2 linked regions of the Mus musculus genome follow. Each later gene encodes a partner of the first gene's protein in a complex. Each region holds a gene or a part of one and is shown in the gene's direction. Other genes may lie near its edges.

The links.
Region 2: the proteins of Mfsd1 (region 1) and Glmp are in contact, whole or in part, in a cryo-EM structure (PDB 8R8Q), measured with the Mus musculus proteins. Residues at the interface, in NP_080089.1 of Mus musculus: Val288, Glu292, Lys293, Arg295, Phe349, Phe351, Leu411, Asp412, Lys414, Gly415, Tyr416, Leu417, Leu418, Val421, Ile424, Ser428, Leu432, Val435, Leu439; in NP_064387.1 of Mus musculus: Glu250 (codon at 2,807), Asn252 (codon at 2,813), Ser253 (codon at 2,816), Ile254 (codon at 2,819), Asp255 (codon at 2,822), Asp256 (codon at 2,825), Glu257 (codon at 2,828), Pro260 (codon at 2,837), Ala261 (codon at 2,840), Phe263 (codon at 2,846), Gln264 (codon at 2,849), Arg292, Phe364, Leu367, Val368, Ile371, Met372, Ala375, Ala378, Leu381, Met382, Gly385, Phe389.

What each region holds. Positions count from the first base shown.
Region 1 is NC_000069.6:67,581,430-67,585,812, forward strand, and holds the start of Mfsd1 (major facilitator superfamily domain-containing protein 1), read left to right. Parts: upstream 1-1,338; 5' UTR 1,339-1,388; coding exon 1,389-1,548; intron 1,549-3,214; coding exon 3,215-3,267; intron 3,268-4,168; coding exon 4,169-4,281; intron 4,282-4,383. UniProt on the Homo sapiens protein: Lysosomal dipeptide uniporter that selectively exports lysine, arginine or histidine-containing dipeptides with a net positive charge from the lysosome lumen into the cytosol.
Region 2 is NC_000069.6:88,323,779-88,328,045, forward strand, and holds the start of Glmp (glycosylated lysosomal membrane protein precursor), read left to right. Parts: upstream 1-1,244; 5' UTR 1,245-1,303; coding exon 1,304-1,423; intron 1,424-1,898; coding exon 1,899-2,153; intron 2,154-2,336; coding exon 2,337-2,534; intron 2,535-2,632; coding exon 2,633-2,851; intron 2,852-4,078; coding exon 4,079-4,267. UniProt on the Homo sapiens protein: Required to protect lysosomal transporter MFSD1 from lysosomal proteolysis and for MFSD1 lysosomal localization.

The sequences.
Region 1 (4,383 bases):
AGTGCTGCTTACTGGCTTGCTCCTCATGACTTGTTCAGCCTGCTTTCTCATAGAACCTCAGACTATCAACCCAAGGGTAGCTGGGCCCTCCCCAACAGTCATTAATTAAGAAAATGTCCTACAGCCTTGCCTACAGGTTCATTCCATGGAGGCATTTTCTCAACTGAGGCTCCCTCCTCTCAGATGACTTCAGCTTGTGTCAAGTTGACATAAAACTAGCCAGCACAAGACAGTAATCTATACTGTGGACAAAGCCAAGGAATGTAAACTGATGGTCTAGGCCCTTCATTGTAGTACAGCTGATGCTGAGTGAAAGATTAAGCCCAAGGTGGGGTATGACCACTGTGCTGGCAACTGCACAGTGTTAGTCAGGGGAATGCAAGGTAGACAGCAGGCTATGCATAAACATTCCAAACGGTATCTCTCTGACACAGTCCCTCTGCTTCCCCATCCCCCATATTTGGATCTCTTTGGAGGGCCCAAGCTAGGAGTCTAGAAAACACTCAAAAGTCCTCCTCCTTTTTCAAATCCCAGGTGCTATTGTTTAAGCAAGTCCTCATTTAGTCACTGGATCTCTCCTTGGTGCGATAGCTCCAGCTTTGAGCCTCTCACTTTCACTTCTGCGGCACGCTTTACAGCTATTTAGCACCTAGCCTTGCTACACTCAAAATTCTACTGCAAAGACTCGGCAAACCTAGAAATGTGGGGTAGAAGGCTGCGCTGCCAAATCAAACTTCTCAAAACAAACCTAGTGGTCTCTATACTCTGCTGGACATCTCTGAATGGCTCCTCATTTAGGATGTTCGTGTTTCTACTTTACTCGACTTTCCTCTTACTCCAAGATCAGTATAAACGTGTAATTATAAACGTATAAAACCCAGAGGAATTCAATAACTCTTTCAGCTGCAGTCACCATCCATCCACCCACATGATTAGTTTCTGTCCACCTAAGGAAATTCTCTCACCCATATTCAGAGGTGAGAGAATTTGTCCTCTTTTCTAGTACATAAGTGTCAGGTACATCATATGCTGTTCCGTCAGGTCAACTTAACAACTCTTCATGAAGAGTTGGCGAAGTGAGGGAGGGAGGACTGAGCTGGGTTCAGGTCAAGCCTTCCACCACGACTTCTGCACCACCACTTCCTACTGGTTTTAAATCAGATGTTAATGAGAACCCGGTCGCTCACTCCCACTCCCGACCGGATCTATACCCCATCGGCAGAACAGAAAGGCAGCACGGGAGCCCGGCCACCACGTGAGCAACCGTTCACGTGAGCACGGAGAGGCGTGGCCCGAGCAAGTCACGTGAACACACGTGATCACGTGAGTGCTGCCGCTGCCGCTGCCGCCCTGCCTTTGCTTCCTGCTCCGTTCCAGGCTGCAAGCTGATGGAGGACGAGGATGGGGAAGATCGGGCGCTGCTTGGGGGCCGCCGCGAGGCGGACAGCGCAGTCCATGGCGCCCCTCGCGCTCTGTCCGCGCTCTGCGACCCCAGCCGCCTGGCGCACCGGCTCGTGGTGCTGTCGCTCATGTGCTTCCTTGGCTTCGGTGAGCGGGGCTCGGCTGGGGCAGATGATAGAGGGATTCCAGGGTTCGCGCTGCTGCCTGGGCTCGGGAGCCCGCTTTTTCCAAGTGTCTGGAGCGAGGTGACGTTTGTTCCTCCAAGCCCCGGTGTTCAGCAGCTCCTCCCTGGGGACGCAGATGAGAAGGAAACTCAGATCTTTCTCCCGGAGAGCTGTGCTCCCGAGAGTTTCAGAACGTTGCTGGGGGAATTTCAGAGCGTGACTAAGTCCCTCTTCCTCCCTCCCCAGGCGACCCCTCCCATTCCCCAGTGCTTTCCTTTGTATTCTTTTAGAGCTCGGATCCGCTTTGGATAGTGTTCACTGCTAAGTACACCTTAGTAGGAGTCTTTTCTTACCTTTCCTCTGTGAGACAGCCTTGCAGGACCACACTTGTTAAGTTGGTTTCACTTATGAAATCTGATCTGGCGCAAAACACTTTCATTAGCTACTTTTAAAGACACCCTTCCCTCCCGTGTTACAGTTTTTAGTTTACATTGAAACTGTTCGGATTCGTAACAACTGGCTTGGCTTGAAAGAGTGTTTCAGGGGGATCAGATTCAGAAATACATGCACCTGGTTTATAAAAGATACTTTGGGCTTCGGTTTCTTTATTTTTGAGAAGATGGTACTCATTTGCTTTAAAACGTATTGAGCTGATAGTGGTGGCGCCCTTTAATCTCAGTACTGGAAGACAGGGACATGTCTGTGCGCTAGAGAGGCCAGCCAGGGCTACAAAGTGAGATCTTGTCTCAACCAACCAACCAACCAACCATGGTATTGAATTTCTTATAAGCAGTTAAATCCTGAAGGAGAAGTTTCTAGGTTTAGAATCAATAACCAGTAAGCATAGACAAAACACTTGAAGAAATTGTCCCTACTCAAGTTGACAGTTTATTTTTGGTAGGTAGATTGGGCTGAAAGTTTGGGTTTGAGAAACTAGAGCCGCCCTGTCGCTAGCTGCCTTCTCCACCTTTGGACCGCTAGCTTTGTGTATTTACAGAGTCAGCGGGGAAACAGGCAGTGTTACCTTGGGGCTTCTTCAAGCCTGTCAGCTTTCCCCGCTCCCAGGAGACATTGCCAGTTTTCATTTGATCCCTTAGACTGGCGCTTGTGTTGTTCTTGTTTCTAGCCCAGTTTTCACTCAGTTATTTGCTCCTGGGTATTTTTGTTTGTTTTTGTTTGTTTGTTTGCAGGATCAGGATCTATATCAAATACTGGTTTGGTTTGAATCTCTGAGTTACCTCTGCTTTCAAGAAAAGTGAGGACCCAGCTAACGTGCACCTGTAGAGGATGCTTGTAGACTTTTTTTAAGTAAGGGAAATGCAGCGATTTCATGAAGATGTTAATACAGTGATAAGCATGGGAAGAAAGACGGAAACGAAATGATTAAAAGCAGTTGATGTTGACCTCTTTATCAGGTTTCTGGTATATGCTGTGTATGCACACCACTACCTTGTGGAAGTTCTTTGGAATGGTAGATCAGGAAGTGGTGTAAAACAAACACACAAGCAAGAAAAAAAAATCTGTTGTCATAGTGTCAGCCATAGTAAACCTTAAACACCTCCGGGGAGTTACTAGTTAGGAGTTGTAACTTGAAACTCTTATATAGATATTATCATTCCGAGTGAAATATGTGTTCTTCCTTTTTCTAGGCAGCTATTTCTGCTATGACAACCCCGCTGCCCTTCAGACTCAGGTGAAACGGGTGAGTTGATTTTCTCCGTTCTTGTACTGCTTTGCTTTGGAGCACTCACTTACAGATGCTCAGATAGAATGAGCTCTCAGGTGCCCCATCTGAGATGTCCACTTTCTCTTCTAGTGTCTGTTATCACCACACCCACAGGCTGCAGAGATCAAATTTGTTTCTCTAAAGAACTCCTGAATAACATATACATGCCTCGAGATGGTTTTCTTCTTTAGGTAGATAATTATGGACTCTGCCCACAGTGTTACGGGAAATGCTAGTGTTGGTTGGAGCTTTGCACTCCTCTGAACCATTGAGTGAGTGGTGGGACAGCTTTGGCCTTCTTAGATAAACTTTGCTGTTATTTACTTTTATAAATGTGCATACTGGTTGCTGAGTATTGGCCCTATCTGCATTCTTAGTCTGGTTTTGAGTTGTAAAACTGTATTTGATATTTGTTGTTTTTTGGGCATTTAGACCATCATTATGTGCATTTTAAAAAGCCATTAGGCAGAGGAAAAATGCATGGGCTGTCCTTTGCATTCTAGGAGGGGTTAAAGAGGATAACATCTGTAAGACTAGGCAAGGACGATTCTTTTCTGTTTGGGAGGAGTCCATAATGGAGGTGGAAATGAAGAAGGAGGAACGTAGGAGACAGAAAAGGGCTGAGTTGGCCCCCATGCCAGTGACAGGTCCTAGAATCCATGAGGCCTGAGACATAGTATGTGGACTTAAGATGTTCCCAGGTATGGCTGTTATTCTAAGGGCAAGGGTCGTAGCTTCCAGAGTCACAAGGAAGTAACAGTTCACACATGGTTAGGAAACATACCCTGTATAGATACACAGCTGTCACTACGTTTTGTTTTGATTCGTTAATTGCAGAATCTGTGTGGAAAAAAAGTTTTCTTTTCTCTCTATCCAGGACATGCAAGTGAACACCACGAAATTCATGCTGCTGTATGCCTGGTATTCTTGGCCCAATGTAGTTTTGTGTTTCTTGGGTGGCTTTTTGATAGACCGCATATTTGGAATACGGTAAGCTTGCAAAAAAAAGTCAAATTGTGGGTAAATTTAACCTGGTTATTAGAATGTAGGAATGGGCCAAAGTTTTTCTTCAAAGAACTGAATAGACTTGTG
Region 2 (4,267 bases), about 21 Mb from region 1:
TCTTCTGGTCTCTGAGGACACCAGACACAGACAGACATACAGGCAAAATACTTTACATGTTAAGATTTTAGGAAAAACAGGCTGGTTGTGGTGCTCATGCCTTTAATTCCAGCAGAGGAGGTAGAGGCAGGCAGGTGGATCTTTAATAGTTCAAGGCCGGCCTGGTATGTATAAAGAGTTCCTGGACAGCCAGTCCCTGCCTACTTGGTAATCTAATAAATGAAATGCATTTACCTGCTGAACATCTCATGCCCCAGACCTTGAATTTCTGGTCTTCCTCTTCTCACCTCTTGGCTGGAATTAGGGTGTCTTGGTCCCCTTGTAGAAACAAGCCTCCATTCCTGTTTGGTTCTGTTTTCTGAGACTACCATACCTAAGGATTCTTTTATTATTCTTTTACTTTTTTTGTTTGTGTTTTTGTCTTTGTTTTTTCAAGACAGGGTTTCTCTGTGTAACCCTGGTGTCCTAGCACTCACTTTTCTCAAACTCAGAAATCCGCCTGCCTCTGCCTCCCAAGTGCTGTGATCAAAGGTGTGCGCCACCACCGCCCGGCATTCTTTTACATTTTACTGCACTTGTTTTATGTGAGCAATGCACAGAATGCATGTGTAAATCAGGTTACAGCTTCTGGCAATTATTTTTCTCCTTCTACCGCGTTGGTCCTGAATATATATCCAACTCATGTTCAGTTTAGAGCAAATGCTGAGGCATCTTGCTGACCCCCAAGGGTTCTTTTATATCCAATTCCTCTCTATATCTTTCCTTTTTTGTTTTGAAGATTTTTTTTTATTATTATATCTAAGTACACTGTAGCTGTCTTTAGCTGCACCAGAAGAGGACGTCAGGTCTCATTACGGATGGTTGTGAGCCACCATGTGGTTGGTGGGATTTGAACTCAGGACCTTCGGAAAAGCAGTCAGTGCTCTTAACCACTGAGCCATCTCTCCAGCCCTCTCTATATCTTTCTAGCACAGAGCAGTAACATACAAATTACTCTGTTAAATTGTGTGGAAATTTTAATCTGGGTTTATTCACCAGAGGTGATGTAGGTGGGGCCGGTAGGGTGTCTGCAGTAAGGTAGGAGTATGTTTGCACAGCTAGTCTAGGATGCCTAGGCCAACCTGTTGATGATAAAATACCTGTTCACCTTGAGCTTTCGGGAGGCTATTCCAACTTAAACAGATCTGGGTTAATAGAAGCGGCCCCTTTAAGAACTTTGTTGGCCCGCCCTCAAAAGGGATCAGCAGGAAAGGAGTCATGTGACTCTGAGGCTCTTCCGCTGAGTTTAACTAGCTGTGGCTGTATGTTTCGCTGTTGGGGACCTCACTGGGGCTGGGTCCCCTGTGCCCCTACCCCATGGCTCCTTTTGAGTCTACTTGTGTGTTCAGCTCCATTTGGCCTGCAGGGAGAAGAGACTCGCCAGGTAAGGGCTCTGGAACTGAAGTTATAGATGTTTCCGGAAATCCTACCTTTCTAGGATGACCGGAATCTGGGACAACAGAGGGGTGGAAGGTGGATGCAAGAGAGATAACAACCCAGAGAGCTCAGTGTGGAGTCACGAGTGATTGGAAGAATTGTGGAGGGGTCAGGCATGACTGCGTCCTGCTTTCTGACGATGTCTGAGCCATGGCTCAGCCATTGTAGCCCAGGAACAGGCAAGTTTGGGGACTTAAAAGCCTTGTTAGCTCTGAGCCCTCTGAGTAATCCTGGATCCACCCTATGTTCTCAACCCTACATCTGCCCCTGATTCCAAGTTCCCCTCAGTTTCTACATTTCCCTCTTGCCTGGTCCTCAAGAGCCCTTGCATTGCCCAGGTCCTGTCCTCCACCTACAAGCTGCAGCTTTGCCTGTGAGCATACCTGATCTTGCTCCTTCCGCCCCACTACCCCGTGTTCCAGGTATCTATGGAGGTTATTTCCGGCTGGCCAAATCCACAGAACCTGCTTCATATTCGGGCAGTGGGCAGCAACTCCACCCTGCACTATGTGTGGAGCAGCCTGGGGCCTCCAGCTGTGGTGCTGGTGGCCACTAACACCACTCAGAGTGTCCTGAGTGTCAACTGGAGTCTCCTGCTGTCTCCCGATCCTGCTGGGGCCCTGATGGTGCTCCCCAAGAGCAGCATACAGTTTTCTTCTGCTCTCGTCTTCACCAGGGTGAGGGTCTGAAGGAGCCCAGAGAGAAGATCACAAGAAGAGAGTCCATCCTACCCCCAGGGCGAGGGACGGGTTTAGCCCAGGGTGGGTGAAGTGAATGCAGTTTTGGGTGGGGTGACTGGGAGGGATATTCAAGAGAAAGCCAGAGGGAGGCAAGCCTCTTCCACTCTACCCTGTCCCCAGCTGCTTGAGTTTGACAGCACCAATGCGTCCGAGGGGGCACAGCCTCCAGGAAAGCCATACCCTCCGTACTCCTTGGCCAAGTTCTCCTGGAACAATATCACCAACTCATTGGATCTTGCCAACCTGAGTGCCGATTTTCAAGGCCGCCCTGTAGATGATCCTACTGGAGCATTCGCCAATGGCAGCCTGACCTTCAAGGTGAGGCTATGGGGAAGGAACTGGAAATGACTGATGAGGGTGGGAGTATCTGTCCCTCAAGCTCCATTCTCCCCACATGGCTTCCTTCTCCTTCCAAGGTCCAAGCCTTTTCTAGATCTGGTCGACCTGCTCAGCCCCCTCGCCTCCTGCACACAGCAGATGTCTGCCAGTTAGAAGTGGCCCTGGTTGGAGCTTCTCCTCGTGGAAACCATTCCCTATTTGGTCTAGAGGTAGCCACCTTGGGACAGGGCCCTGACTGCCCCTCAGTGAACGAACGGAACTCCATCGATGATGAATATGCACCTGCCGTCTTCCAGGTCAGGTCACCAGTGCGAGATAGATGGGTGGGAATGTAAAGTGGGATCCCGCTAGCAGCCCAGAAAACCCACCAACCACTTATTGTTAAAAAAGACTGTGTGTTTGGGTTTTTGAAGGATTTCTTTTCATTTTATGTGCATGTATGTCTGTGAAGGTGCCAAATCCCCCGGAACTAGAGCTACAGTCAGTTGTGAGCCACCGTGAGGGTGCTGGGAATTGAACCCAGGTCCTCTGGAAGTACAGCCAGTGCTCTTAACTGCTAAGCCATCTCTCCAGCCCCAGAAGACTTGTTTTTTATGTGTGTGTATTTGGGTGCATGTGCATACAGGTTCCTATGGAGGCAAGAAGAGGGTATCAGGTACCCTGGAGCTGGAATTACAAATAGCTGTAAGCCTCCTGGTATGGGTGCTGGGAACTGAATTTGGATTTTCTACAAGAGCAGCAAGTTCTCAGCACTGAGCCATCCCTAAAGCCACCACAACACCCATTTTTAAAAGGGTTTTCTGTTTGTTTGTTGAGACAAGGTCTCCCTAAGTATCCCTGGCTGGCTGACCTAGAACTCTTGCTATGGAGACCAGGCTGTCCTTGAACTCAGAAAGGTTCATCAGCCTCCTGAGAGGTGGGATTAAATGCACGCACTGCCACATCTGGTCCGGGTTTCTTTTTTCTTTCTTTTTTTTTTTTCTTTTTTTTTTCTGGTTTTTCGAGACAGGGTTTCTCTGTATAGCCCTGACTGTCCTGGAACTCACTCTATAGACGAGGCTGGCCTCAAACTCAGAAATCCGCCTGCCTCTGCCTACCGAGTGCTGGGATTAAAGGCGTGCGCCATCACGCCTGGCTATGGTCCGGATTTCTTATTTAACAACACTTTTCTCTGGCTCCTTTTAGTATGGGGTTGCACTAGTCTATTGCCTGCCATCTGTGCCCTCCAAGGAAGCAGACAAAACCAGTGCTTCCAAGATCTTCAGCTGGGATGCTCCTTAACCCGGGGCCCAGAGGGAGCGAGCGCTGAACGGCTGCAGCTCCGTTCATGTCAGTTTCTCTCTGTAGAGGAGAGACTGGACCTCCTACATCTAGCATGTCATTTCTACAACTACACTTAGTACTGAGGACTCTTGGTGACTTAGTGCCTGTACTGCTGATATGCCTTCTGGGAGAGCTGGGGAAGCAGAGGTGTTGGTACAGGTTGGTCCTCCTCACCCTGCCTCCTTTGCTTGTCTCTCCAGCTGAACCAGCTGTTATGGGGCTCTTCTCCATCTGGCTTCATGCAATGGCGACCAGTGGCTTTCTCTGAGGAGGAGCGGGCCCGAGAATCAGCCCTCCCCTGCCAGGCTTCCACTCTTCACTCCACCTTGGCATCTTCTCTCCCTCATTCACCAATTGTTCAAGCCTTCTTCGGGTCCCAGAACAACTTC